Alligator mississippiensis: one gene and its partner. The protein of the gene in region 1 interacts with the protein of each later gene in a pairwise test. Links are inferred from orthologs where the notes say so. Each region holds a gene or a part of one and is shown in the gene's direction. Other genes may lie near its edges.

Region 1 (7,467 bases):
GCACCGCGGTGGTGGGCGCAGCGGGCGGGGGAACAGGTACTGGAAGGGGAATATGAACTATAAGAAACAGGAAGGTTTGAAATATTGAGGTGTTCAGGGCTAGCACTCTTACAAACTTACTATTCTGGAGATGCTGCTGTGCTCCATGCTCAGCGTTGGGCTTATTGGGCTGAAACTGGAGCCCTGCTTGTCTGGGGGCGAGGAGAACTATGCAATTAACGACCGGCACTCGTCCAATTATCAGTCAGAAGCTTAATTGACTGAAAAAAACGATCCATTAAACACAAAGCAATTCATCCACTGGGGTTGCCAGAATACAGGTAGTCAACTTGACTGAGACTGCCAGGATATAAGCAGGCAGTTACCAAAGACTGAGCGTGTTAAGGTGACTCCACCGCATCACAGTCCGGCTACAGCTGGTACCCAGGCGGTGCTCCCAGTCGGCCGCGCCGGGCGAGCTTCACGGGTTGCCGTTGTTCCAAGTCCGATTGCTTGGTCTTCCCTTAGAAATCCACGCAGGAGAATCAGACCGCCGACAGTGAACGGTGATTTCACTTGCTTAGGCTATTTAACCCTTTAGTGATGTCAGCATCATCAATGCTAGCCCAGCTCATTATATGATATTTTGGAAGCTTCATAATAGCACAGACTTACCTGGAATATTTCCCTGTTCCCACACTAATTAGGCCCAATGGTCACTGTAACGGGCAAACTGAGTTATGCTCAGGCTCTTAGCATAACTTTAGGCCTTCCTGGAACTAAGCAATTAACTTGTACAGAGTGCCTTATATGGCACTGGGAAAAGTGAGTGCTGTGATTGGTGCAGTGGGTTAACCAGGTACAGTAGTTTCCCTAAAAGGAAAGGAAACCAAAAAACAGAATGGGATTGTTCCCCCCTCCTGCCCAGCCCAAGCCTGTGGGTGAAGCCGGCATCCTCGCCCCACCACCACAGCCAGAGGGGCAGGATCCACTGGAGGCTAGTCTGGGGGGAAAGGAGTCCAGGAGAGCTGGCTATACTTTAAAGAAACCTAACTGAGGGAGCAGGAACAAACCATCCCAATACAAAGGAAAACTAGCAAGTATAGCAGAAGACCTTATCTACAAAGATGAGGGAAGAAACTTGAGGACTGGACGGTTTGAAATGAGCAAGCTACAAAAGTAGTGGACAGAGACTTGTGTGTGTGTGTGTTGCCACCCTGGGGAGATGGGAGCAACCTTGGACTTCTTGCTTGGAGTAACAAGGAATCCAGACACTAACATCCCACACGCCCGCCAGAGGGTCTGAGGCCGATACCACCGAAGGTCGCTGTTGTACCATCTAAGGAACTGCTTCCCAGATCCTATTACAGGGAAGAATACTTGTCATGAGCCTGTGGGTTACTAACACAGTTCACTTGGTACCAAATCGGACGAGGGGCCATGTCGCTCCTTGGGGGTCTCTGGTGAAAGGAAGCCGGGGGCAACACTCGCCACGTTCTCATCCTGATTTAGGGTTCTGTTCTTCCAGATGTTCCCTGGCATTCGCTATACTGGGGTTAACAGTAGGCCACAATCATTGCCAATTCTTAACTGGATCATCTCGAAGAGACTTCTGGGAGTTTGGTCAACTTAACATGGCCAGATTAGATTTTCCTTGCAACAGGGGTGGGCGCAGCAGCAGCGGGCAGGGGCGGGGGCGCTGGTGCCGGATGGACCAGGAGCGTGGTGGGGGCAGCACATACACTACCCCTGGTGGCGGTAGGACCAGAACAACAGAGAAGGTCCCATCATGGGTTGCTCCACAACACCTTTCACTACCTGGCTCCGGCAGTCAGCTGTGGAGCGGGAGCAGGGGGATGGATGGGCAGAAGAAACACTGTTTGAAGGTGTTCCAGGTTCTGGAGACACCCCCTCAAGGGACCATTGGCCACGCGTAGAGGGTGCACGTGCGCCCCCTGAACCCTTGCTGTCGACACCACCGGCAGCGTCTGTGGGTGCTCGTGGATCACTGTTGGCCGCCACCAGCATCTGCAAGTGATCGCTGACTGCTGGTCACCACTCACCCCCACCCCTCCACTGCCATCACCACCGCGGCCACCTGTGGGAGCTCCCTGCCACCATGCCCCTGCCACCTGCAGGCAGTGGCCGTGCCCCTCCAGCCTCTGGGCATGCGTCATTGATGCCAGAGATCATGCAGTATAATACAAGAAAGAGTTGCTAATCGCCCTCGATCATATGTTAATTAACGGTCCACGCATGCCTGCTTGCCCCTCTGGCTGGGGTGGTGGGGGGAGGATGCCGGCTTCACCCACAGGCTTGCCAGGATCCTTGTACATTGGGCTGGGGGGGAGGGGGAACAAGCATTTGACCACCAATAACAGCCCACCCTGCAAGTCTTTCCAGTAATGCCATGACTCCATCTACGGCCCCACCCAACAAAGCAGCCCCAGGCATGCTCCTCAGGTCTGGCAACCCACCCCACACAGGCCTGATTAGCCATGCCAGTCTGCCTAGGACACGCATATACACGGACAAAAAAAATTGCAAGACTTTTATTAACAGAAAATGCAGTATATTTTATCAAAATTAAGAGACAAACTAAGAAAAAGTATTTAAATTAAAAAAGAGAATAATTAAAGTACGGAGAATTATATATAAATAATCATACTAAAGCTATCTATCTATAGCAATCTATAAAACTTTAGCTATACAAAATAGCTATAGAAAATCTAAAAAGTACCTGTACGCTGGTTCTTCTTTGTTCTCTCCTTCGTTGGTCGGAGGCTTGCTGCGCTGTTCTGAGGGGGGGAGGAAAGGAGACATGAAACCGGGCCCGGTGGATATGTTGCTCGGGGGCGTCCGCCTGGACTATCCTCTGGCAAGGTTGGAAAAGAGAAATGTTCAATGAAGTCATAGGGTAGGGGCAGCAAACTCAACGCTTTGCAGACTTGCCATTGTGGCGATGCCGAGGTGCTGGGACCCCGCGGGCACCCCGGGAGCGCACACATTACGGGCAGCGGGTAAAGGACTAGCAAGGGGCGCTGAACTACCCCCGCTGCACAGCGCTGGGGGGCTGCTCTTGCTCGGCCCCTTTCCTCCTCGCGTATATTTATATTAATAAGAGTATTACAGCTTGGAAGACCAGGTTCTCTGCGTGGATCTGACATCTTTCATTAGACCCACTTAAATAGTTGGAAAAACTTGTAAGCAAGCTTTCGGGTTTAACAACTCTTGGTCAGGCTGAGGAAGATCTGCACGTGTGCCGGCCTGAGGAAGGGCTTTTAAGCCCGGAAGCTGGCTTTAAAGTTCTTCCAGCTATTTAAGTGGGTCTAAGGAAAGACACGGGATTCACGCAGAGACCCTCGTCTGCCCGTCCTTAGCCAGCACGGCTACCACCTCCCCCGCGCGGCTTGGCCGCACTTGGAAGCCGGCGCCTGGCTCAACCGCGGCCGGGGGGTGACGGGGAGCAGCGCCGCCCGCCGCCGGAGAAGCAGTCGCCCGTCCCGGGAAGCGCCGCCTGTGCGACCGGCCGCCGGGTCCTCCACCAGCGCCCGGCTTGCCGTGCCGCGGGGGCCTGCGCGCCGCCCGCTCCCGGGCTGCCCCGGCCCGTGGGGAAGGCCGTGCTTCCCCGGCCGCCCCACGCAGCCCGCCCGCCCGCCCGCCGCGGGCTGTGCACGAGCCGCCCCCCTGAATGTCAGGGGCGTCGAGTTTCTCCCGGGGCTATTTTTAGCGGCAGCTGTGAAAGGGCAGGGGTCGCCGAGAAGGTCAGAGCCCCCCCGGGCGGCCCCGCCCCCTCCGCCCGGCCTCATATAAGGGGGTCGCCCGCAGCCCCCGCACCGGCCGCCCGGCACTGCCACCAGACCCTGCCCCGCCCGCCCGCCCGCCAGGTGAGGGGCGGCCCACGGCGGGGCTCGGGCTCGTGCTCGGGCACGGGGGGGCGGGCAGGAGGGCCCTGTCTGCAGGGCGCTGGGGCGGTGTCCAGGGGGGTTGGGGCGGACGTGGGGCAGCGCCGGGGCGGCCTGGGGCCGCGGGGCAGGCGCCATAGCGGGGCTGTAGGTGGGGGCGTTGCGGGGCGGCGGGGGCACGGGGCCGGGGCGGCGGGGGCAGGCCGCGAGCGCGGGCCCCGCGGCGCCCTTGGCGGGGATCGGGTTTCCCCCGCAAAGGTCAGCGCGAAACCCACGCGCGGCGGGCCGGGGGGTGCAGTGACGCAACCCCAGAGCCTCCCAGGCCCCGCCCCCGGGACGTCACTGCGCGGGCGGGGCACGGCGTGGGGGAGCCCCAGGGCAGCCCCGGGGGCAGCAGGGGCGTGGCCCCCCGGCCGCGCCCGCGCGTGACGTCGGCGCGGCGCCCCGCCCCCAGCCCCTAGCCCGCCGCAGCCCCACGCGGCAGCGCAGTCGATCCCGCCGCCGCCGCTGCCGCAGGTTGGCTTGGGGGGGGCGTCGGGCCGGGGGGGCTTCGGGCCGGGGGGGGGGCGTCGGGGTGGGGGGAAGCGCCGGGGGGGCGCTGCTGGGCCGGGCGCCTGGCTCCCTGCCCCCCCCGCCCTTGGAGCGACCTTGACTCCCGGCACCGCCGCGCGGAGCTCGGGCACGCGGGCCCGGGGGCTGCCATCGCCCCCCCTCCCGCCCCGGCCCCCTCGGTCCCGCCCGCGCCCCGGGCACACGACCCCCCCGGACACTTGCCCCCACCCGCGGCCACGACCCCCCCCCGACGCCCGGGTCCCGCCCAGGGGGGGCCGGAAGCGGCCATGCGGAAGGCCGCGCGCCGCACGTCCCGCGCGTAACCCCTGCGCTCCCGCAGCCGCCAAGATGCCGCACCCGCACCCGGCCCTGACGCCCGAGCAGAAGAAGGAGCTGGCGGACATCGCCCACCGCATCGTGGCGCCCGGCAAGGGCATCCTGGCCGCCGATGAGTCCACCGGTGCGGGGCGGGAGTGCAGGGCACGGGGGGGGGGCTGCGGGGCGGGAGTGTGGGGCACGGGGGGGGGGGGCTGCGGGGCGGGAGTGGGAGGCACGGGGCACTGCAGGGCCCCCTGTGTTAACCCCCACCCGCCCCCCTGCAGGCAGCATCGCCAAGCGCCTGAGCTCCATCGGGGCAGAGAACACCGAGGAGAACCGGCGCTGGTACCGGCAGCTGCTCTTCACGGCCGACGCGCGCGTGGATCCCTGCATTGGCGGCGTCATCCTCTTCCACGAGACCCTCTACCAGAAGGCCGACGATGGGCGCACCTTCCCCCAGGTCATCAAGGCCAAGGGCGGCGTTGTTGGTATCAAGGTAGGCCCCCGGGGGGGTGGGCAAGGTGGTCATGGGGACTATTGGGGGGGGGGGAGGGGGCCGGGGTTGGAGGTCTCAGGAGGCTTTTACCTTGAACCTGGTAGTTGGGGTGCAGGAGTGAGGAGTGGAGGCCAGGGGTCGGGGCAGTACTGATGAGGTTCCCTCTCCCCCACCGCAGGTGGACAAGGGCGTGGTGGCCCTGGCCGGGACCGATGGGGAGACCACCACCCAAGGTGAGTGCCTGGACACCAGGGTCTCGGGGCTGGGAGTGGTTGCATCTGGCAGGACAGGCATGTCTGCGGGGTTTTCCCCAAATGCCTGGGTCCTGAGCCTCATCCCCCTCCCCAGGCCTGGACGGGCTTTCTGAGCGCTGTGCCCAGTACAAGAAGGATGGGGCCGACTTCGCCAAGTGGCGCTGCGTGCTCAAGATCGGGCCCCACACGCCCTCACGCCTCGCCATCCTGGAGAATGCCAATGTGCTGGCCCGCTACGCCAGCATCTGCCAGCAGGTGGCCGTGGGGCAGGGCTGGGGGCAGGGCTACTTCCTCTCCCAGGAGCTAGCAGGGGGTGGGGCTAAGACTGAGGGCAGAGCCAGAAGGGCACAGGCAGCATCTGCCAGCAGGTGGGGCTAGAGGGGCTGTAGGTGGGGCTGGGGGTTGGGGTCAGGGCTAACAGGCTCATCCCGACCTCCCCCCATGTCCTTCTAGAACGGCATTGTGCCCATCGTGGAGCCCGAGATCCTCCCCGATGGCGACCATGACCTGAAGCGCTGCCAGCACGTCACCGAGAAGGTGAGAGGGGTCACTGCAGTGAGGGGGCACTTACCAGAGGCTGGGAGGTGGGAGATCTTTGGGGGGTGTGGCCAGAAGGAGCCCCGCCTCTTGGAGGAGCTGGAGGGAAGATGCAGCAGTGGATGTGGGTGGTGTGCTGACCAGTCCTGCCCCCCCCCAGGTGCTGGCGGCTGTGTACAAGGCGCTGAGTGACCACCATGTCTACCTGGAGGGGTCACTGCTGAAGCCCAACATGGTGACACCTGGGCACGCCTGCACCACCAAGTACAGCCATGAGGAGATCGCCATGGCTACCATCACCGCGCTGCGCCGCACCGTGCCACCTGCTGTGCCCGGTGAGACCTGGGCCTGCCCCTGGCTTCACCCCCTGTGGCCCTGCTCCCTATCTCACCCCTGACAGCCATGCTCTGGGCATGCAAGCCAGGGTAGGGGAGGCTCCACCATCTCCTTGACTCCACCCCCTTGCCCATTAACCCCCTGGGTGCTGTGCCTATGCCCAGGGTCCCCTGCTCCAGCCCAGCCTGTTAACCCCGCGAGCACTGTGTCACGCCGGCACTGACTCCCTCCCCCTTCACAGGTATCACCTTCCTGTCCGGGGGGCAGAGCGAGGAGGAGGCGTCTCTGAACCTCAATGCCATCAACAAGTGCCCCCTGCACAAGCCCTGGGCCCTGACCTTCTCCTACGGGCGGGCGCTGCAGGCTTCAGCCCTCAAGGCCTGGGGCGGCAAGAAGGAGAACACCAAGGCGGCCCAGGAGGAGTACGTCAAGCGCGCTCTGGTGCGTACTGACCTGGCCCGCGGCGGGGGGAGAGTGACCTCTGACTTGCAGAGGGGGTGGGGGAGGGGAGCCTGGACGCTGGGTTTTTTGTGCTGCTCTGACCTGTCTTGTCTGTCCGTCTCTCTGCAGGCCAACAGCCTCGCCTGCCAGGGCAAGTACGCCGGCAGCGGCCAGGCCGGTGCTGCCTCCAAGGAGTCTCTCTTCGTTTCCAACCATGCCTACTAGGCTGCGGCTCCACCCTGCCTGCCCCCCGCCCCTCCCCCATCCCCTTCCCAACTTGGGCTGCAACTATATTCACCTGGACCCGACTGGGGCAGAGACCAGCGGGCACAAGAACCCCGGCCTCCGGGCGGCCCCTCCCCCCCTCCCCCTCCCCCTGGTGAGCAACACTTCCGGCTCCCGCCCCCCCTCCAGCTGCCCGGTCTCCGGGTGGGGGCGGGCGAGGCCCTAACTACACTGAGTTACTGAATAAAATGAATTCATGAAGATATGTGTCCTGTGCTCCTGGGCCTCGGGGGTGCGGGTTTCGGGGGTCTAGGCCGTGGGCCCCTCTGGCCCCCAGGAGGGGAAAGGAGCCAGGGTGGGGGGGGGGCAGGGTTCTGGCCTGTGTCCCCCACACGTGACCGCAGCAGAGGGAATGCATGTCCCT
Region 2 (7,588 bases), on another chromosome or scaffold:
GCTGCTGAGCAAGGGGGTGGGAAAGAACGCAGACCTCTGGCTCTGCTGGTGCCCCTCCCAACCTACAGCCCGCCCCCAAGCCTGGTGCCCCTCACCCCCTGCCCCCCAGGCCCTGCTTGTGCCCTTCACTCCTGACCCCCGGCCCATACCTCCACCAGTCCCACCCCGCTGCCCCTCAACTCCCACCCCGCAGTCCAGGCTCACTCTTGTGGGTGGTGGCAACAGTGACGTTGAAGGTGGGGCCGCCGGGGCTCTTGGTGCGCAGGTCCATGGTGAATTCACCATCCACCAAGAGACTGTCGCGGATCACGGAGCACTTCTGCCCCCCCAGCGTTAGCCCGTTCACCAGCAGTGACGCCCGGTCTGGTCCCACCAGCACATTCACCTCAGCCGGCTGCGGGAGGGGGAAGCGGGGTCAGCCATGGGCCCTGGGTGCCCGGATCCCCCCGCTGCTCTCACGCACCAAGAACTCAAGTGCCCGGGCTCCTCCCCGCCCCCCCCCCCCCCCCATGGAGAGCCAGGCATGCGGGCCCCACCCAGAGGCAAGGGTGGAAGCCAGGCATCCCAGCCAGGGAAAGAACCCAGGCCCCACCCAGTGCCAACGGCAGACCTAGGTGTCCAGGTACCCAGTGCTGGGGAGGGAACCCAGGCCTCCGGGCTGCCCCTCCCCCCCAGCTGCTGAGGTCATGGGGGGGGAAGGAGGAAAGAGAGCAGGACTACAACAGCTGGAGCTGAACAGCTGGGCCCAAACAAGTCCCCTATTCTCTGCCCCCATTCCCCTAACACCTGGGGGGGGGGGCAGCAGGAGAGGCTGCATTTGGGGCATATTTCAGCATTAAGAGAAAGTGAAAGAACCCAGGCATCTGGGCTCCACCGGGGTTGGGGGTGGGAGTGGGAGGCAGGAACAAGAACCCAGGCATCCCGGCTCCCAGCAAACTCCCAGCTCTGGGGAAAGAACTCAGGCATCCAGCCTGGGGGGGGCTCAAGCCCACATAAAGGGGGAGAGCTGGGGGCTCCCCAAACCTCCACCTGGGGGGAAAGGGGGGAGGGAGGGGCCTGGCCACACCCAGCTGCAGATTGGGCCCGAAACCCCCAAAAAAGGTCAAAGCTGGGCAGGTGGGCGGGACCCAGGGGATGTGGGGGGGGCTGGGATGCCTGGGTTCTTTCCACCGTGCCCCCCCCTCCCAGGAACCCAGGTGTCCTGAAAGTTGCAGGGGGGGGAGGGGCAGCCAGGCCTAGTAGGGTCATAACCCCCCATCCAAGGAACCCAGGTGTTTGGGAGGGCCAGTCTGGCACCAGGCAGCCCCCCCACCCCTGCCAAGAGACCCAGGTGGGGAGCAGGGAGGGCAGGAATCGGGGAGCAGGAAGTTCCTTAAGGGCCTGGAGGCGGAAGGGAGGATAATTTTTCCTGTTAGTCTGTGGCACCCAGCCCCCCCATACCTCCAGGCCCCCCCCCTCTGCCCCATATACCCCAAACACTCCGCTCTGTGCCCCCAGTATCCTCCATTACTCCTATATGTCCCCAACTACCCTGGTTACCTCAAACACCGCTTCTTGCCCCAGTACACTCCGAAGTACCCCTCCTTTACCCCCAAACACCCCAACTGTCCCTTTAGTCCAATACTCCCAAACACCCCCCTCCTTACCCCAAGTACCCCCCATTCCCCCTAATGCCCTAAGTGACCTCCCTTTATACCCAAATACCCCTTTTGCCCCACATCCCCCCAAATACACCTTTGACCCCCACATCCCCAAACACCTTCCTTTGCCCCTAGTTCCTGCCCTTTCTGTCCCCATTGCCCCCCCAGTGCCCCCATGTTACCCCAGCAGGGTGGGGGGGGGGGGGTTTGGGACACCCCCTCCCCAGACCCTCATGTCACTTCCTGGGGGGAATAGGGGGAGGAGTTTGCAGAGAAACCAGGAAGTGGGGGGGGGGGGTGGCTGCAAGAGGAAGTGGCTTTGGCTTCCTCGGGGGACCGGAAATGGTCCCTGGGGGGCTGCCCCTCCCCCACTTGGGGCCACTTCCGGTCCAGGAACAACCCCTTCCAGGGGCAGATGGGGGGCTGCCTCCCCACCAGAAATAATGCCCAGAAAACTGCCCCCCCCAGGTGAGGGGCTGCCCTGCCCCCACGCACGTGTCTGGGGACCCTGCAGCTTTGCAAGGCGACCGGCCCCCTCCCTTGCTCAGGCATACATACTGCCCGCCAGCCCCCTCGCATGAGCCTGTGGGCCCCAGTTTTTGCTACACAGCCCCTCTTCCCCTTCCCTCCTCACCGCTCGGGCTCCCACCCGCTCTGGCATACGTTTTGTCCCCCGCCTAGCAGCCCCCCACGCACGTGCCTGTAAACCCCCCCCCCCGAATTTGCAATTCAGCTCTCCCCTTCCTCCTCCCTCCTGGTGGCCCCCTGACTGCCCCCCTTTGTACCCCCCCCGCAGCATGCATCCCACACCCCATGCACGTGCCTCCGGACCCTCTCGTTTTTGCAATCCCCCCGCCCCCATTTCCTCCTGGCCACCCCCCGCGACGCGCCGCGCTTTTAGCTGCATCCTCCCCCCGCCATGCACGTGCCTGCAGCCCCCCCGGTTTGCAATTCACCCCCTCCTTGCCCTTCCCTCCTGGCAGCCGCCAGCCCCCCCTTCTACCCACACCCCGCTCCAGCCTGTATCCTGCCCCTCCCCCAGCAAAGCCCCCCGTCCACGTGCCCCTACCCCTCCGTACCGTGATGTTGATGAAGGTCTTGCCGGGGGAGGCGGCCCAGACCGACGGGGCGTCCTTGTAGCCCACGATGGCCGCGTCCTGGCACGTCCCGTCCGCCATGAGGCTGTCGATGTAGGAGCTCCACCCGCTCATGGCTGCAGCCGGGGGGGCGCGGGCCGGGGGGCTGCGGGCGGCGACGGCACGAGGACCCGGCGGGGCGGGCGGGAGCAGAGTGCGGGCCGGGCCCCCGCGGCGGCGGCTACATAGGGCCCCCCCCCCGGGGCGGGGCTGGATCCCTCCGCGCCCCCCCCCGCATGCTATCGGGACTTCTTTGCAAAGGGAGGGGGAGCGAAGGGCCCCCCCGTGCAGAGAGAGGGCCCCACCCGTGCAAAGCAAAGTGCCCCCCATGCAAATAGCACGGGGAGCAAAGTGCCCCCCCGTGCAAAGGGAGAGGGAGTAAAGGCCCCCCCGTGTAAAGGGATGGAGAGCAAAGTGCCTCCCTGTGCAAGGCAAAGTGCCTCCCCCCCCCGTGCAAAGAGGGGTGCAAAGACTGGGGTATTGCCACCCTGTAGGGGCGTTGCACTAGCCCCCCTGGGTGATACGTGTGTCCATGGGCATATGTCGCAATGGGTGTGTTGCATGTGCCCAGGGGCATAATACACATGCCTATGGTATTGTTACGGGTACCCATGTGCCAGTGGGTGTTACATGATACGTGTGCCCAAAGGGGTGTTACACATGCTCACATGCAAGTGTGTAAAGACTTACCTGCTGCGTGTTCCTCGGGGGGGGGGGGCTTTGATGATGGGCATGTCACAGGAGGGGGTGATGGGAGCAGTTGTGGCATGCATGAGCACACGCCAGCCCAGCCAGGGGATGCACACACGCGTGTGCACGGCTGTATGCCAGCTGCTGTGACGGGAAGTCGAACACGTGTGTGCACGAGATGTACACGGGAGCTGTGTGTGATGCCCGCAGGGCTGCAAGAAGATCACACGCTCACCTGCACGTGTGGGCCAGCCCCACGTGGGTGGAGACACACATGCCTGGATGCACACACGTGCAACATGCTTGCCTCCTGGTGCTGTGTGCAACACACGTGTGCCCCCCTCCGTTGTGCACCATGCAGCCCCCAGAACACACACCCAACATGGGGGGCAGATGCGCACACACATGTGCAACTGCACTTCCATGTCCAATCTCACCCAGAGGGCACAGATGTGTACACAGGTGTGCAATGGCACACACAAGAGCAATCCTACATGGGGCAGACATGTGCACACGCGTGTGCAACTGCACACACACACATGCAATCCCACATGGAGGAGGGGCTGGCCCCTCTCTGCCTGGGACAGGGGGGCGGGGCTCCGGCGGGCCCGGCGCGCTCCCATTGGCTGGCCCCGCCCTGACACGTCACTGCCGGGAGGGGACTACTTTTGCCGGCGGAGGAACACCGATAAAAAAACTTTCTACCGCTACAAAAACTTTTCCAGGGCGGGAGGGGAAGACGTCATTTCCTGTCTGGACCCCCCCCCCCGCAGCCAATTCTGGGGTGGGGCCGGACGGGGTGGACTCCCCCCTCCCCCCATCCGGGTCCTCCCCCCCACGAGAGAACCCAGGGTCCGGCGGCCCCGGCGGGGGGGCGGGCAGGAAGTGTGTGATACAACCGGTGTCTGTAGCAACCTCGGGGGGAGGGGGAGGGGGAGGGGGAGGGGGCCCCGGGGCATTGTGGGTAGCAAGGGATGGGGGGAATTGGCGGGAGCCCCGGGGCATTGTGGGTAGCGGTGCCGGGGCACAGGGGGTTGTGGGTAACAAGGATTGGGGGGCTTGCTAGGAGCCCCAGGGCACTCTGGGTAGGGGAGACAGGCCCCAGGGTGTTGTGGGTAGGTAGTGCCAGGCCCCAGGTCCTTGTGGGTGTGGGGGGACCGCAGCACAGAGCAGTGTGGGAAGGATTTGGGGCGGCTTGGTGGGAGCCCTAGGACATTCTGGGTAGCAAATGCCAGGACCCAGGATAGGGGGCTTCCCAAGGATGGGGGCTTGGCGGGAGCCCCAGGGCATTGTGGGAAGCCGACAGGCCCGTTGGGGGCGGAGCCATGACTCACGCGTGTGGCGGCGCCGGGCGGCTCCAGACACCGTGACACGCGCGTGCCCCAGGGCGGCGCCCTCCCCCCCCCCGCCTGGACGCGTGGGTTCCCCGCCTGCTCTGGGGCACGCCTGGTTCTCTCCAGCTCCGGGCAAGCCTGGGTGCCGGGACACCTGGGTTCACAGCCCAAAACAGGCCACGGAGCCTCTACTGTGCCCCGCCCTCGGGCTCTCCCTCGCCTCCCTGGGTCCCCAGGGGAGACCCAGGACTGACCCCCGGATCGTGCCCTGGGCCCCTGCTCCCTTGGGACAGCAGGGAGTGATCCCGCCTGCAGCCACCAGGGGGCCCGTGACCAACCCCCCCCCCACCAACCCGGGCCTGGCTCCCTGCCCCTCCTGCTCTCACCCCCCAGAGAAGCAAGGTGTCCGAGCTCTGAGCCCCCCTTTCCCCTGGAAGTGAAGCCAGGTGTCTGGGCTACCCCAGGGCCCTTCCCTACAGAGAACCCCGGTGCCCCAGCTCCCACCCCCTGCTCTCACCTTTCCCCGCCACATACTCCCAGAGAACCCGCGTCTCTGGGACCCCGACCACCCGGGTGTCCGAGCTCCCGCCCCGTGCTCTTACCATTACCTCCCCCCACAACGAACCCAGATGCCTGAGCCCCAAAGCCCCCCCCACCCCGCATGAGAACCCAAGTGTCCTGACCTCTCCATGGGGGCTGCCTTGAGTTCTCCCTGGGAGCACCCCCCCCATATCCCATCAGCCCCCACTCTGGGGGTCAGGTTTCCACTGCCCTTTCCCGGGAATGGGCCCGACCTTTACTGTCCCGGGTGGGTCTAAAGATAGACCGGGGGGGGGGGGGCACAGGGAACCCAGGCGTCCAGAGAGCACACACCCAGAGGACCTGGGTGTCTGGGAGGATGTGGGGGGGCACAAAGACCCCAAGACTTTGGGGCTGGAGGGGGGCACAGAGAACCCAGGTGTCAGGGGCCTGGACCTGGGGTCACATAGGGAGCCAGGTTGGGGGGCCACAGAGAACTCAGGCATCCAGGACCTGCATACATCCAAACCCCAGGTGTCTGGGCCCCCCAGAGAACCCAGGTGTCCAAGACCCACATAAGATCCCAGGCGTCTGGATGGGGCGGGAAACCCAGAGAACCCAGGTGCCCAGGACCAACCTGCAGACATAGAGCCCAGGTGCCCGAGACCTCGCTGGGGGGGCGCAGAACCCAGGTGCCCAGGGAGGGTTGGCAGGTGGGGAAGGTGCAGAGAATCCAGCAGTCTGGATGCTTGGGTTCTTCCCCTGCTGTGGGGGGGCCGCAGCCTTGAAGCTGGATGCCTGGGTTCACCCCCCCATCCCCCTTGCCAGGTGGGGAGGGGCCAAGTTCCAGAGTGGGTGCCAAGGCCCGTCTCAGTGTCATGGCACCGGGGGGGGCGGGGAGATGTGTGGGGCCATATAAAGGACATGACAGCCCTGGCCCCAGCACCCGTCAGCCCGACCCGGAGACACCCCAGTGAGTGGGGCTGTAGTTTGGGAATGAGGGACACAGGCAGGGCTGGGGGAGCAGAGACTGCGGCTTGGGAGTGAGGGGCACTGGAAAGGCTAGGGGGGCAGAGGCTACTGGTCCAGAGTGAGGGGCACTGGCAGGGCTGGGGGGGGGCAGGGGCTGCAGGTCAGAAGTGAGGGGCACTGGCTGGACTGGGGGGCAGGGGGTGCAGGTTGGGAGTGACGGGCACTGGGGGGCCAAGGGCTGGGAGCTGGGAGTGAGGGGCACTGGTGGGGCAGGAGGGACAGGGTTGGGAGTGAAGTGTGCCAGGGGTCTCTGTGGGTTCCTGCCCCCCCACCTTCCATGAAGCTTTGACCTTTGCCTCCCACCCAGTGCTATTTTTATCCCTGGCAGTGGCTCCCAGGCTGGAGGGGGGGGGGGGCACAGGGCCCATCCCCTTCCTTGGGTCCTACAGCCTGGACACCTGCATTCCCCAGGATGGGCCTTGGCTGAGGGGGGGGCAGGTGGCACAGGGCCCAGCCCCTTCCTTGGATACTACAGCCCGGACACCTGCATTCCCCAGGATGGGCCTTGGTAGGCCCAGCTGGGTGCCCAGACACCTGGGTTCTCTGGGAGGGGAGGGGGCTGGGACCTGGGGGGGCTTGGAGCAGGGGGGCTTGGAGCCAGGACACCTGGGTTCCCTCCAGCCACCCTCCTGTTCTCCCGCTCCCCCTCCCCCCCACTCCACAGGCCATGTCCATCCAGAAGATCCATGCCCGTGAGATCCTGGACTCCCGTGGGAACCCCACGGTGGAAGTCGACCTGCACACAGCCAAGGGTGAGTGGGGGCCTGGGGCTTGCGGGTCAGAAGTGAGAGGCACTGGGGGGCAATGGGTCAGAAGTGAAGGGCATCAGCAGAGCTGAGGGGCAGGGGCTGCAGGTTGGGAGTGAGGGGCACCGGGCACCCACATGCCCTTTGCCCCCAGGGCGGTTCCGGGCCGCGGTGCCCAGTGGCGCCTCCACGGGCATCTATGAGGCGCTGGAGCTGCGCGACGGGGACAAGAGCCGGTACCTGGGCAAAGGTGAGCTGGGCAGGGTGGGGTGGGGCCACAGGGGTCATGACTCCCCACAGACCCCCAGGTTGTGTCTTCTGTGGGCAGGTGGGTCAGGTACCCCATGTTAGTGGGACCCAAGGGCATGCTCTGGGCCACCCTGATTGGCTGAGAGAAGTGACTCACCCATTGGTGGACCAGCAGAAGGGGTGGGGCTATGCAACTCACTGGCTGGTAATGAGGGTTGAGTGGCATTATTGACTTCCCTTGG

The links.
Region 2: the proteins of ALDOA (region 1) and ENO3 interact in a two-hybrid assay, tested with the Homo sapiens proteins (2 studies listed by BioGRID and IntAct, with this or other methods). The link is inferred for Alligator mississippiensis from reciprocal best matches to the Homo sapiens genes ALDOA and ENO3.

Annotation. Positions count from the first base shown.
Region 1 is NC_081830.1:234,069-241,535, reverse strand, and holds ALDOA (fructose-bisphosphate aldolase A), read left to right. Parts: upstream 1-4,297; 5' UTR 4,298-4,400; intron 4,401-4,776; 5' UTR 4,777-4,784; coding exon 4,785-4,896; intron 4,897-5,038; coding exon 5,039-5,250; intron 5,251-5,428; coding exon 5,429-5,483; intron 5,484-5,598; coding exon 5,599-5,759; intron 5,760-5,957; coding exon 5,958-6,041; intron 6,042-6,201; coding exon 6,202-6,376; intron 6,377-6,618; coding exon 6,619-6,818; intron 6,819-6,947; coding exon 6,948-7,043; 3' UTR 7,044-7,304; downstream 7,305-7,467. UniProt on the Homo sapiens protein: Catalyzes the reversible conversion of beta-D-fructose 1,6-bisphosphate (FBP) into two triose phosphate and plays a key role in glycolysis and gluconeogenesis. In addition, may also function as scaffolding protein.
Region 2 is NC_081838.1:23,776,241-23,783,828, reverse strand, and holds the start of ENO3 (beta-enolase), read left to right. Parts: upstream 1-4,562; 5' UTR 4,563-4,581; intron 4,582-6,212; exon of another isoform or gene 6,213-6,292; intron 6,293-7,015; 5' UTR 7,016-7,018; coding exon 7,019-7,103; intron 7,104-7,251; coding exon 7,252-7,347; intron 7,348-7,588. Other genes in the region: PFN1 (profilin-1), read right to left, coding at 205-394, 2,720-2,851. UniProt on the Homo sapiens protein: Glycolytic enzyme that catalyzes the conversion of 2-phosphoglycerate to phosphoenolpyruvate. Appears to have a function in striated muscle development and regeneration.